3 linked regions of the Sus scrofa genome follow. The protein of the gene in region 2 purifies or fractionates together with the protein of the main gene of each other region. This does not show direct contact. Links are inferred from orthologs where the notes say so. Each region holds a gene or a part of one and is shown on either strand. Other genes may lie near its edges.

Region 1 (4,456 bases), on a different chromosome or scaffold from region 2:
TGCCCTTTGTCACAGGCGTGGGTGGCCACAGGCTGCCTTCCACGTGGACACGTCACCCTGAGGTCAAGCCCCAGGAACATCTCCAAGGGGCAGACCCCGCGAGCCCTGAAGCCCTTCAGCCCCCTCGCTGGGCTCAGCGTCCCGTCTGAGGCCTCAGCACACACAGGCCCTCCCAGCCCTTGGGCCTCCCAGCCGGGCAGCTTCCCATGTCCCGGTCCCAGCTTCTCCCATGTCCCGGCCTCTCTGGAAGTGAGGCGCCGCCTAGCCTGCCCCCCCTGCCCTCCTCCCTGCCTGACCCCCTCCTCCTGGGGTATATGTGTCTGGCCCCAGCTTTCAAGGATGTGGCTCCGGAGGCCAGGGTACCAACCAGCAGTCCGGGGACCGGGACGCTCAGAGAGGCCACAGGCAGAGGAGCAGGATGAGGCTGTGGGCTTCAGGCCGAGACCACCGCAGCGGATTTACGCCGCGCGACGGAAATGTCTCAGCACCGTCGCGAAAGACGGTGAGGTACTCTGGAATGTGCATTTATTTTTAATAAGACAAACATCTCCCCCAACAAATGACCTGCACATCGGGGGCCATGACTCATTCCGTCAACTCTCAACTACGTGCCACTCTCGGGAGCCGGAGAGAACCGCTCACAGCTCTCCTAGGACACCTTCGGCTCGCCTCCCTCCGCCGGGGGTGTCAGCCTCCAAACCAGTCGGCCTCAGATGTGCACGGTTCTTCCGGTTTCGAGGGCTAAAGCCTGAGAACGCTCCTCCTTCTGGCTGAAGGGTCTCCAGAGCCTCGAGACGGTGTCTGAGTTTCCGCTTGGTCCTGACGGGCAGCAGGAGTGGCTGCCCCAGGGTCACCACACCTGGCACGTCCGGATCACCTCCTTCAGGGCCGTCACTCCCTCCATGCTCTTGTCCTTCACGGCCAAGGCGAGGAGGACTGCTCTGTTTCCAGCTTCCTGAGACACAAAGGCCACCAGGTTCTTTGCAAAGACATGGATGAGAGGCTGGTGAGGGCAGAGAGAGAAGGCATTTTAACTGCAAGAAATCGCTTGTCTTCTTCTAAATTAGTTTTATTTTAAATTCCTCAATGGGTTTTATTACATTTACAGTTGTGCGATGAGCCTCACAGCCCGATTTTGAGCATTTCCATCCCAAGCCCCTGCCCGCCCCCGACCTGTCTCATTTGGAAACCATAAGCTTTTCAGTCTGTGAGTCAGTATCTGTTCTGCAAAGAAGTTCACTGTGTCCTTTTTTTTTTTTTTGTCTCTGTAGGGCCGCACCTGTGGCACATGGAGGTTCCCAGGCTAGGGGTCTAATTGGAGCTGTAGCCACCAGCCTGCACCACAGCCACAGCAATGCCAGATCCGAGCCGCGTCTGCGACCTACACCACAGCTCACGGCAACGCCGGATCCTCAACCCACTGAGCGAGGCCAGGGATCGAACCCGCAACCTCATGGTTCCTAGTCAGATTTGTTTCCGCTGCGTCACAACGGGAACGCCCCATTGTGTCCTTTTTTTTAGATCCCACATGTAAGTGACAGCATTTGAGGTTGGCATCTCACCATCTGCCTGACTTCACTTGGCGTGATAATTTCTAGGTCCAACCTCTTTTCTTCTTAATGCCTTCCTAGTCCCCCCGAGAAACCCGGCCTGGCTTCCAACCATTCAGTCACCACCTGGTAAGTTCAGTGTGACAGTAACTCAGGTTCAAAGAGACTCAGGGCACTCCAGTCATAAACGCACTGCTAAGGAGCATCATTAAACTTGTCCCTTTCGTGCTTCTGGTTCCTGTCTCTTCCGGCGATTTCTGCTCTGGAAGGACCCCTGAAAGTCTGCAGAGGCAACCTGTCAAGGCTCACAGATGGTCTTTCCAGAACGAAGCATGCACAACCAGTCATTACCATAATGTATCATGACAGGGTCAAACTGAGGGGAGGCCTACATCGCAAAATCAATACCTCCGCCTGTCTGCAGGATAAAATGCTGATGGGCTGGAAGCAGCAGCCACCAAGGGCAGGTGGATGCCCTCAGACGCAGAGAGGCCCCGGAAAATGCTGTCGAGGGCTGGTGGCGGTGGGCGTGGGGGCGTCTGCCCAGAGATGCTCCCCGTGTGTATTAACAAATTGTAGCCACCGGGCTCCCGCCCCCATCCCTTTACCTCGTCCTGCCCGAGAAGAACTTTGGTGGTGAGCACAGGCTTGCTGATGTCACTGGTCATGCTGCTGGATTCCAGGGAGACCAGGGTACCCATTTTCCCGAACTGGGTCACCACCACCAGGATGTGACTGCTGAAGGCTGTGCATACCACCTGGGTAGGGACGCCACACACTACCGCAGTCGTCTGTTTCGACATCACCAATGGTTTGCCTTCCATGGTTGGGTCTGTTCAATGGCCCCTTCAGCTTGTTAAGAATAAAGAGAGTAAATCAGCATCAGATGGCCTTGGGGCTCCAGAGTAAGTACCATTTGGCATTAAAACAGAAATACAAGTGGGCTCATTCAAAAGCCTGTATCTGTTAACCCTTACAGGCCTCATTTGCCCAAAACTTTCTAGATTCATTGAGTAGACACACTTGTATACATAAACTAGCCAGGCAAAGGAGGCAGGATGTCAAAATATGCTTTTCTTTCCTCTTCCACGCGCTTGGGGCCCCTGCTGTTAAGCATCACTGTGACCCCACCCCATCCCGAGGCTCTGAGTCCTGGGGCCCTCGGTGGTGCCACTGCCGGGGGGGTGAAGGGCTGAAAGCGCCGCAGGTGCAGGTGCAAAAGCCAGGCCAGAGCAGGTGGCCACGCTCCTGCCGTCCCTCCAGTGCGCCCATTGAGGTTCCGTTTTCTGCACTTGGGAAAACCACCGGCCCCACAGGAGAAGCAGCACGTCACCGAGCCAGGAGGCAGATGGCGACCGTGGCTGGGGCGCCAACCGTGGGGGCGCCCGCCCTCGCCTTCCCGCTCCAGCCTCCGCGGCCCCCTACCCTCCCTGCCGCCCGCCATGCCGCCCGCGCTCACCAGGCCGCGCCCGGAAATGACGCCGGTGGCGGCGCGGCCCCGCCCCCTAAGGCCCCGCCCCGCTCCCGAGCGCCAGACGCGCCCGCGGGCTCTGCGGCCCCCGCCGGAAGTGCAGCCCGCAGGGCTTCCGGTCGCGCCGGGGCCGCTGGGCTCTGAGGCGCTGGGCTGCCCGCCCGCCAGCAGCGACGGGCTGGGCACCGAGTCGCGCGAGGGGCTGCGGCCCCAAGCTCGGGAGCGCAGCCTCCAGCTTCTTCCCAAGGGCGGTCTCGCCCTTCGGCCCCTCGGCCCCTCGGCCCCGCAGTAGAGCGGCCTCCGGCTTCTCCCCAGGGGCGACCTCGGGCGCTCCTGACGGCGGCCCTGCTCCTCTGTCACCGGGGAGCCGCAGTGGGGTCCCTGGCCCCTTGGCCGTGGGTTCCAGGGCGCTGCTGCAAGCACAGGGAGCCGAGAGAAAACCAGGGCTGGACCGCAGTTAAGGCGCTGAAAGCGGGTTCCGCCCAGGGCGCTTCACAGAGCGCGCAGGAGACCCCGGTGTGGAGCCGGGCTCACCCCGCACACGGGTGGGCGGAAAAGAAAGGCGCACCCCGAAAGCTGAGCCTTACGTTTCGTGTGGCACACCAAGCTGAGGACCCGAGCCTGGGGCCCAGCATCTAACTGGGAGCCCGCTCCGTAGAGGTGAGGCAGGAGCCGGCACCTCCGGGCGGTTCCGCGCAAAGACCAGGTAGCTGGCGCGTGGGGAGGTCGCTGTCCGTTAAGGAACCAGACCTCTCCAGGCGTTTAGTGCTTGGAGTTCCCGTCCTGGCGCAGTGGTTAACGAGCCCGACTGGGAACCGTGAGGTTGCGGGTTCGGTCCCTGGCCTCGCTCCGTGGGTTAAGGATCCGGCGTTGCCCTGAGCTGTGGTGTAGGTTGCAGATGTGGCTTGGATCCCGTGGGGCTGTGGCTCTGGCGTAGGCCGGTGGCTACAGCTCCGATTAGACCCCTAGCCTGGGAACCTCCATATGCCGCGGGAGTGGCCCAAGAAATGGCAAAAAGAGAAAAAAAAAAAAAAAAAGAAAAAAGGAATTTAGTGCTTCTCCGTGAGTGGGGGGGGGGGGGGCGGGTGATGCAAAGTCTGGGCTCATTCCCATCAACCCCAAGTGATTTCAGCGTTCACGGCCTTCGTCCTCTGGGTGCACCGTCGTGGTGGCTGTAATGTGACAGCTTGATGGCTGCAACATCCTTTCTTCACTGATCGGTCGCGCGTGTTCAAAACCACAGGAGCCGGTGGGAATTTACAGCCGAGGAACGGCGTGGGGTCAGGGGGTGGGAAACTACTACGCGGAAACCTCTGGGTGGGGGGCTGGGGGTTTGGGGCTTCTAGCCAAGGAAACCTGGTGGGATTCTTGCTCAAGGCCGGCCAGGTATCAGACCACCTGGGGGGTGAGGACGGGTTACCGATCAGGGTATCAC
Region 2 (4,666 bases):
GGGGGCCCTAAAGCAAGCCCACATGCGGGTTGTTCGCAGTTCAGGTGAGACATGACACGGGCCAGCGGCTTTCAGCATTGCTCCCACCCTGGCTGCACGTCCCCCCGGAGCACGGCCGGGGCGACCTGGGGCTACTTTGCCGCAGACACACTCGGTTCACAGGTGACCAGAATATCACCAGGGTAGGGGGACTGTCAGCGCCTCGCACCTGCCTGGTGACTGATCATTGGGGAGGGCATGACAAAAGCCACAGCGTTTCCCTCCAGAGATGAGCCCACATCACCTCGTAAGAAGAAAATTTCAGGTACCACTAGGCGAAGGATGGGAAGTTACACGAGGCAGGCGAGGACCACCCCGTGAGGCTGCTGCTGAACCCCCGTGACGCACCCGCAGCAGGACACTAACTGGTGACGGCCCCGTGACGGGAGCCGACCCAGGGCAGGCGGCGCCTACCTGCTTCAGGCTGGCGATGTAGCGGGTGATGTACTCCACAGTGACCGGGTCCTCCACGGTCAGCCGGTGGCTCTGGCACTCCACCCGCGCCCTGTTGATGACTATCCGTGCGTCCGCGGTGAGGCCTGCGGTGACCGGAGAGCTAGCCTGAGCCCCACCTTCCAGTCAGTGGTCCAAACCAGCACGGCATGGACGGCACAACCTCTGGCGGCTTCTAAGACCGGCTCCCGGTTCCCAGCGCGGCGCCTGAGTGACTGGCGGCGGAAGCAGCAGCCCCCACGCGCTTCTCTGAGAAAGCTGGGCGGGCGACCAGCACGCGTCCCGGGACAAAGCAAGTCAACCTCTGGATTGGGTAAACCGGGCGCTCCCTGCCGAGGAGGGAGATGAGCGAGGAGGGAGATGAGCGGAACCACAGGAGCTGACCGCACCTGACAGCAGAGCGCCGGACGGCCCCACCTTTCCCACGGCGACATGCCGCTGAAAGCACGGGGCCACCGCACAGCCCCTCACCCCGGGCGTCTGCTGAGAGCCTGTGCGTCAGCCACCGGAGAGGGACCCTCCTGCCCAAGAAGCAGGCCGCACCTGTTTCTTGGAAACGGTCTGTTCCCCGGCGTGGGCGTCCCCGGCAGCGCTTCCCCGGGTGACCCTCGTAGGAGGCAGGAGGAGAGCCCCGGCCCCAGGCTCACCCGCGAACGCCATGCAGACGTTGTCGTCCAGGGCGCAGATCTTCCGCACGGTCCGCTCGTCCTGCAGCCTGGCCACCGACTTCTTCTCCACGCCGAGGACGACGATGTCCCTTCCGCGGACGCCAACCTTCAACGGGCATCACCGTGGCACTTAAACGTGTGACGCGATCCCAGCCCAGAGCACGAAGAGCGGCTGTTGCCGCGGCCCCATGACCACTGGGGCAGGGGGCACGCACAGCCTGCAAACCGTGGGGCTGGACCCGCTTATGCACAACTACCTCAGGCGTCGCCAGCCAGGTGCCCACTCTTGGCCTTAGGCTTCAGTTTCAGTTCAACTGAAAACCACCACCGTGTGTGACCCACGTGTATGTGCCCCTTCAACCCCATGATTCGGAATTCGGCGTAAAGCCTTTAGGCCTGAGTCCTTAACACAGAAATAGCTGTCCTGAAAGCAGTGTTGCGTGGCTGTGAAGTCACACCCAAACCCTCCCCGCTCCCGCACTTCGGTAACCTGTGTGCACGGCAGTGGGCAAGTGCCTGATGTGACCAGGTGGACGTGTCAGCTACCCCCGGGAGGCCACTGGCTGTTTCTGGCTGTCGCTTCGCAGGTAGAAGGATGTCTTACGCACATGGGGAAAAAAATCACGATTGCCTGTCGACAGCCCTCAATGGGAACAGCAGCCGCTGCGCATGAAACGGTCACTGGGCAGAGCGACATCCGCCCGAGCCCAGAGCAGGGCTTCTGAGCCTCAGGACTGTGGGCACCGGGCCCGCCAATTCTTGGATGTGAGGGCGGCCCGGCTCACTGAAGGATGCTTACCGTCCGCCCGGCCTCTGCCCGGCCTCTGCCTCTAGAAGTCTCCTGGCCGTTGCCAAACGCCCCCTGGGCTGCAGAGAAGCCCTGGTCGGCTGTGTTTCCAAGTTTCAAGCAACTTTCCTACAAACTGACCTGGTCTTTAAAGCTCCCAAAGACAAGAAGGCCCTGCTCAGAGGCGCTGGTTAAAGAAAGGTAGCCTGCCGGCGGGCCCCACATGCAATGGGGGCGGGGGGAGACAGGTGCCAGGCGACTCCCCCACTAGTCTCTAAGCTGAAATAGGTCGCAAGGTGGATTTGGAGCCCCCATTGCAGAAGAGGTTCAAGAGATGAAAATACTTCCAAGATTCACAGAATCGTGTGTTTTCTCTCTGGCCAAACCTCTGACACACCAAATAATAAAATAAAAACCATCGTACAGTTTAGCCAATAAGCAAACTGCCAAGCGTACTGAAGGCACCATTGCATTTACGTTTCAAACCGCGGCCTAAACGACAGCCGCGCTCAGGTGCGAGGGGACGAGGGGGGCGGTCACACCCGGAGGGGCCTGCCAGCTGCGCCGGGCTGCCCGGGGACGGCAGGGCTGCTGCTGAGCCCGGCGGCCGCCCTTTGTCCTCGAAGCCGGCCCACTGCTTTCCCGGTCGGGGAAGCCCCCTCACTGGGAGCGGTCCGCATGCCGTTCGCGCAAATCATTTGGTGCCTTAAGGCGCGTTCCGGGTAAGGGGCTGGCCCGCCGCTCGGAGCCCCCCCCCCCCGCCCAGCCGCGGCCCCCGAACCCCCAAAATGGCGCCGCCGGCAGGCGCGCTCGGCTCCGGACACCGGAGGAGCCCCAAGGCCTGCGGTCTGCAGGCCACGGTCCGCAGCGCCCCTTCCCGAAGCAAGCCCCACGTGACGGCTGCCGTGCGCCCCCCCGCCCCTGTGCTACCCGAGCCCGAAGCACTCGGCGCCGGTCAGCGCGGCCTCCCCAGCCGCCCGGGCCCTGCCCATCCCCGGACGTGCAGGCCCCGCGGGGCCGCCGCTCACCGCAGTCGAGCCCTTCTTCACGGCCTCCTGCGCGTACTCCACTTGGAAGAGGTGGCCGTCGGGCGAAAAGACGGTGATGGCGCGGTCGTAGCTCATGCCGGCGGGGCGACGCGGCCGGACCCGGGAAAAGCGCACACTCACGGCCCGCGCAGCCCGCGATTCACGACGTCGCTGCGCCCGCGCCCGCGCCGCGCGCCCGTCCGCCCCCGGCGCCGCCGACTGCGCTGCTGGCGTAAGGCGGGCGTAAGGCGGCGTCGGGCGACGTGCGCGCGCCGGGGCGGGGCCGGGCCGAACCACCGACGGCCGGGCGCGGGGGGCGGTGCGGCGGCGGCGGCGGTGGCGGCGGCGGCGGGCCCGGCGCGGAGCGCGAGGCGGCCGCCCGGGGGCGCCGCGCGGAGCTCGGTCTCAGGCTGCGGCGGCGCGCGGAGCGGCGAGGCGGCGGGTCCGGAGGCAACGCGGCGACGGAGGGGCGGGCGAGTCCACGGCGCAGCACCCCCCGCGCCCCCCGCCCCCCAGCGACTGCGGAGAATGAGCGCCTCTGGCCGCCGAGCGCAGCCGGAGAATAAACCCCGATGATCTCGGGCTGATCCTGCGCCCGCGACCATGTCGGTGGCCTTCGCGTCCGCCCGGCCGAGAGGCAAAGGGGAGGTCACGCAGCAAACCATCCAGAAGGTGGGCTGGGGGCCGCGGTCCCGGGCTGGGGGCCACGGGGTGCGGGCGGGCGCTGGGCCGGGTCGAGGGCAGCCGGCGGGCGCGGGGCGCGAACAAAGCCGGGGCGCAGCCGACCGCCGCGACCCCGCTGGGGCCCCGCGCGCGCTCTGTGGCCAGCGTGCGCCAATGTGGGCGGGGGTGCGCGGGGGCGGTGGGTTGGGGCTCAAGGCGGCGCGTGGGGTGGTGTCCTCGGAGCCCAGCCCGGAACGACCCCGGGCCTCACCGGCCACAGTGGGGACGCGCCGTCTTCTGGGCCCGGGGCCGCGGGGCAGGAGCGCAGGGCGGCAGGACCGGGTGCCCGCAGGGTGGTGTCCAAGGGATGTTGTCTGCAGGGTGATGTCCGCAGAGCCAAGCCAGGGACGACCCCGGGCCCCGCCGGGGACAGTGGAGACCCGTCGCCTTCGGGGCCGGGGTGCGGGTGCACGGCGTCCGGACCGGGCGTCCGCAGGGTGGTGTCTGCGAGCCGCCCGGTGCGCCGAGGGGACCCTCCTGACTGGGAAAGTGGTGACGCTGCGCCGTGGGCGGCCCCCCGCCCCCGCGCGCAGTTTGGCTGGTGGAGGGCGCACGGGGCACATGGGGCGACGGGGATCCGTCCCAGCCGCCGGCCCCGCCTGCCATTTAGGTGCTGGCATTACGAGGCACAAAGAGGTGCATCCAGAGTGAGGGCGCCGGTCTTGCAGCCCCGCAGCCCTTTAAGGAGCGCTCCACGCCTCGGGGCCGGCTGGCCGGCCGCTCTTATTGGAGTGTCACGCTGCTTTTCAGCCTTGACACTTCGCCAGCCTCTTCACCTAACAAAACTTTACAGACTGGTTTTACAGCCTTGCCTGCGTGCTATAAGTTTGGCCTCGTGGTTTCCTAGACATAACCTTCACGTGGGTTTGGGGACATTTTAATACAAGTCTTAGGTTTTGAAATGGAAATTTAAAATTTTTACTGCTTCTGTTTAGAAGATAAAGCTCAGGAGAAAGTGGCTCTCGACT
Region 3 (4,516 bases), on a different chromosome or scaffold from region 2:
AATATGAGTCTAGGTAATTGGGACACCGGTCCAAAGTTAGCAACACTGAATTCAAGATTTTTTTCTGGGGTGTTCCTGTTGTGGCTCAGCAGAAATGAACCCAGCTAGTATCCATGAGAATGCGGCTTCAATCTCTGGCCTCGTTCAGTGGGTTAAAGATCTGGCTTGCCATGTGGTGTAGGTCGCAGACCCAGCTCGGATCCTACATGGCTGTGGGGAGGCTGGCAGCTGCAGCTCCGATGTGACCCCTAGCCTGGGAACTTCCATATGGCGCACCTGTGGCCCTAAAAAAGATTTTTTTTTGTTAAATAATTCCAGGTTCGATGAGTAAGACAATTAGGAAACCAATCCAAAATGATGACAGCTGTTAAAGATACTGTTAGTGACCGCCAGAAAACAGGAAGGCGTTTATTTTTTTCCACAAGACAAGTAGGATTAGGATCTTCATAAAGCAGCAACGATTTTTATCATTTTCTCACCTGCATCGATGGCACAAAAAATGAGGGAAAATCTATCCTTAGCTTCCTCTAAACTTTCCGGATTTTTGTTTCTTTCCCCAAAAACACACGAAGGAAAGCACTTTCAAAACAGGCTCATCTCCTTGGCGTTGAAGACCTACTGAGACACAAAGCCTCCGGCTCCCCTCAGTTTCTGGAGTTGCTTGGAATACATGAGAGCCGACTGGGTATTTAACGGTTCTTCCTCCCCCACCAACTTCGAATTTCTCAGACTACAGCCACTTCCCCACTTCTCAAACCATCCCTTGTACGCTGAAAACTTCTCTGGGTTGCCCCCGCAGCTGGCCTTCGGCGTCAGAGACCGGCCCCCTTTGGTCTAATCCTACACCCAAAAGATTAACGCAAGTCTCCATCTTCTCAATGTTTACGACACGGGGAATGCACAGCACCTGGAGTAGATGGCGAAATATGCTGGCCCTGATGGCCTTCTCGTTTTGCTTCAGGATCCGTGTGGTTGCCTGACTGACGCCCAAAGGGCGCCCCACGCCGCCTTTACTCACGCCTTCCTCCAGGTTATCGAGAATTTTCATTTCGTCTTCCAGAGCCATGACCCTCCGCCTCCTCTTAAAACGTCTTTGGCCCGGGAGCAGTACGCCCATCCCTCCGCTCGGCCTAAGACGCTGCTCAAGCTGCAGCGGCCTCCACTTTAACCACTGCTGAGAGCCTGGCTTTAGAGCCGGGGGACGCCCGCAGGGCCGTTTAACCTTCGGTTGGTCCTCATTCTCCCTACTCCGCTTGCGGGGCACTTCCTCTGCCTTCCCTCTCGGTGGGAAAGAAGCAAACAGACCGCAGCATCGGACTGTGGAACTAACAGAGCCGTAGCCAAGATGACACCCCGCGCGACCCCGTAACATCAGCGACCCCAATGGGTCCTGGTCTCGCGAGGCTTAGCAGCCCCTGAGCGCGCGCGGCCGCCAACTCTGAAATGCTATTGGCTCGCCCTGGCTGGTCCCAGTCCTGCCAAAACTCAGGGAACAGAGGCTGCGCCAGGCGGATCTCGCGAGGTTCGGGAAAATGCGCCGGGAAGAGGGCCGGCACATAGGCGGGAGGGGGCAAGATGGCGGCCCAGGTGCTGGCGCTCCTGAGGGAGGTGTCGCGGCTGGAGGCGCCGCTGGAGGAGCTGCGCGCTCTGCAATCGGTGCTGCAGTCGGTGCCACTCAGCGAGCTCCGTGAGCATGCTGCGGAACTGCACCTCGGTCCGCTTTTCTCCCTGCTCAACGAGAACCATCGGTGAGAGGATCCTTCTACTTGAGAAGGGGAGAGTGACACCCCCAGTTATGGAGACAGGGATGGCGTGGTAGCGGGGGAGGCTTTTCCCAGTCTCAGAGAAGGTTGAATTTAGCTGAAATTTCAGAGAGGGGAGGATTCTGGGCTGAAAAGCGAAAGACAGTGTTCAAGTCCAGGCTCTGAGGTGTGCCCCTGGCAGTCGCTTGCCAGGGAGGACTCCACAATCCTATATCGAAGTCCTTGACTTTTCTCCTCCTCTTAAGAAGGGGTACTATCCTGGCAATTTGACCGGATCCATCAATATTTTAAACTCATACCTTTTGATCCAGTAATTCCTGTTATAGAAATTTAACGTAGAGGTATGCTCGCACACAAAATGTACTTTCATGATAGAAGGTGACAGCAAAACAAAAAAAAAAACCTAGGAACAACCTGAATATCCAATAAAAGGGGATTCTTAAATTGATGATACGTGACTATGTAATGCTATGAAGCTATTAGAAAAACTGAGGCAGATCCAGTATGTGGACATGGAAAGATCTCTAATATATGTTGCTGAATAAAAAGAAGAAAATTGAAGCCTTTATGATCTCATTATGTGTAATTTTAGAAAAGGATTACAGGAGTTTCCTGGTGGCTCAGCAGGTTAGGGATTCCACATTGTCACTGCATTGGCTCTAGTTACTCCTGTGGCACAGGTTTGATTCCTGGTCTGGTAACTTCTGAATGCCGGAAGGTGCAGCCAAAAAGGGGGGGTGGGGGCGGTTACAACCCTCCTACACCCTTGTGAACACAGGCCAGTGTAACATTAAGAGTATCTGAAACTATTAACATACAAGTGCAACTTTGAATGGTAGGTTGGCAACTATTTTCATTTTATGTACATCTGTAGTGTTTGATTTTAAACACTTTGTATTTGATCATCTGATAACTTAAAAGACTTTTGAAATGTTTGTGATCCAGAAATTGTAAAAGAGCTTTTCTTCTGGAAGAGAATGAAGCACTGGATCAACACTGGGTGATTTCAGAGGGTTTTCTTGGCTCTGACCTTCTAAAAGTCCTCCCTTTTCATATGTGTTCTCCCTCTGTTAATTTCTCTTAGTTAACATTCAAGTCTGCCTGTGCAATGTCTCTGTCCATTTTAATTCAGGCCCTCATTTTCTCCCTTTTGTTAGGTCTGTTGCATTAGTCTGACTTCTCATTCATTACCTCTGAGCTTCCTTTTCTAGTGTGTCCTTCCCACATTGCAACCACAGTGAACTGCCCAGGTCGTTTGGCTCACATCTTTTCCATGGTTTCCCATTGACTCCAGTGTAAAATCATGACTTGTTAGTCTGGCATTTGGACCTTACAATATGTTTCCACCCTACTTTTCCAGCCTCATCCTTTTTCTCCACTCTACACATTTCATCTGCTCCAGCTACCGCGTGGCAATACTTACTTTCCCTTGAGCATGACTTGGCACTTTCCTAACTTTGTTCACACCAGTCCTTCTAACTGAAATGCCTCACCCTCTCTCCAAATCTGTCCATCCTTTAAGGCCCAGGTGAATTACCACCTCATCCAAAAAGGCTTTCTCAGTCACTACAGTTGGCAAGGGACTGGCCACGGATCTCCAGATCTGTTAACTTCTATTAATGATATTTGACAGTATCGCTTTATGTTATAATTCCATATGTGTTTGTTTCTAATCTGTAAATTCTTTGAAGGCAAAGAATATTTTGTTCATCTCTGCATGCTTCCTAAGGTGTAGCACATAATACAATATATGGCAAATGAGACATTAAACTCATGAATTTTAGAGAGCCCACCTAGTCCAATCACTTTATATTAAAGATGAAGAGAGTTTCAGTGACCACAACATAAGTTAATACCAGAGTTGCAATAGGAACAGAAATTTAGGGGAGTTTGAAGACAAAGTTTCATGGGATAGGTGGTTTATTGAATGGAGGAGCAGTGCTCTAGGAAACAATTTTAATGGAAATTTAAAGATAAAGTTATTCAGAACTCAGCACGTCATAGCTACTAATTACGATTTGTGGGAACATTCATTCTCTGGATAGTGGATTGGCAATATACATTTTCCTGATTAAATCACACAGGTTTATATGTTGGTTTGGGGTTTGGTTTTGTTTTTTGGGTTTTTTTTGTTTGTTTGGTATATGGAGTTCCTGGGCTAGGCCAGGCCAGGGATCAGATCCAAGCTTTAGTTGCAACATAAGCCACAGCTGTGGCAACACGGATCCTTAACCCACTGTGCTGGGCCAAGGATCAAACGTGCATCCCAGTACTCCCAAGATGCCACCAGTCCCGTTGTGCCACAGCGGGAACTCTGGATCTTTGCTGATAGTTATAAATCTAGACTTGACTGGAATTTTTGTGAGGGAAAGTAAGTCCTAAGATTACTTCCTTAAACATAAAAGGCTAACAAGACTGTATGTTATTAATTCTTTGGTTTCTTGATTTCAGAGGGCCACATGTGACCCTGTATCTGTGCATTGTACAGTTTAACCTACTATTGCTTTAAAGAGAAAAAAATTATTGGGAGTTCCTGTTGTGGTGCAGCAGAAATGAATCCGACTAGTATCCATGAGGATGCAGGTTCGATCCCTAGCCTTGCCCAGTGGGTTGGGGATCTGTTGTTGCCCTGAGCTGTGGTGTAGGTGGCAGATGGGACTCAGATCCCTTATTGCCGTGGCTGTGGTGTAGGCCAGCAGCTGTAGCTCCAATTAGACCCCTAACCTGGGACCTTCCATATGCTTTGGCCCTAA

Evidence for each region. The genes of interacting proteins can lie anywhere in the genome.
Region 1: the proteins of PSMA7 (region 2) and PSMG3 purify together in Homo sapiens (affinity purification with mass spectrometry; 3 studies listed by BioGRID and IntAct, with this or other methods). This does not show direct contact. The link is inferred for Sus scrofa from reciprocal best matches to the Homo sapiens genes PSMA7 and PSMG3.
Region 3: the proteins of PSMA7 (region 2) and PSMD5 fractionate together in Homo sapiens (co-fractionation; 3 studies listed by BioGRID). This does not show direct contact. The link is inferred for Sus scrofa from reciprocal best matches to the Homo sapiens genes PSMA7 and PSMD5.

What each region holds. Positions count from the first base shown.
Region 1 is NC_010445.4:1,051,677-1,056,132, forward strand, and holds PSMG3 (proteasome assembly chaperone 3), read right to left. Parts: upstream 3,041-4,456; 5' UTR 3,010-3,040; exon of another isoform or gene 2,976-3,009; intron 2,403-2,975; 5' UTR 2,375-2,402; coding exon 2,159-2,374; intron 1,004-2,158; coding exon 851-1,003; 3' UTR 509-850; downstream 1-508. UniProt on the Homo sapiens protein: Chaperone protein which promotes assembly of the 20S proteasome. May cooperate with PSMG1-PSMG2 heterodimers to orchestrate the correct assembly of proteasomes.
Region 2 is NC_010459.5:61,568,295-61,572,960, forward strand, and holds the start of PSMA7 (proteasome subunit alpha type-7), read right to left. Parts: upstream 3,223-4,666; 5' UTR 3,072-3,222; coding exon 2,976-3,071; intron 1,267-2,975; coding exon 1,140-1,266; intron 579-1,139; coding exon 454-578; intron 1-453. Other genes in the region: SS18L1 (calcium-responsive transactivator), read left to right, coding at 3,579-3,647.
Region 3 is NC_010443.5:260,865,728-260,870,243, reverse strand, and holds the start of PSMD5 (26S proteasome non-ATPase regulatory subunit 5), read left to right. Parts: upstream 1-1,476; 5' UTR 1,477-1,575; coding exon 1,576-1,748; intron 1,749-4,516. Other genes in the region: protein CutA homolog, read right to left, coding at 908-1,372. UniProt on the Homo sapiens protein: Acts as a chaperone during the assembly of the 26S proteasome, specifically of the base subcomplex of the PA700/19S regulatory complex (RC).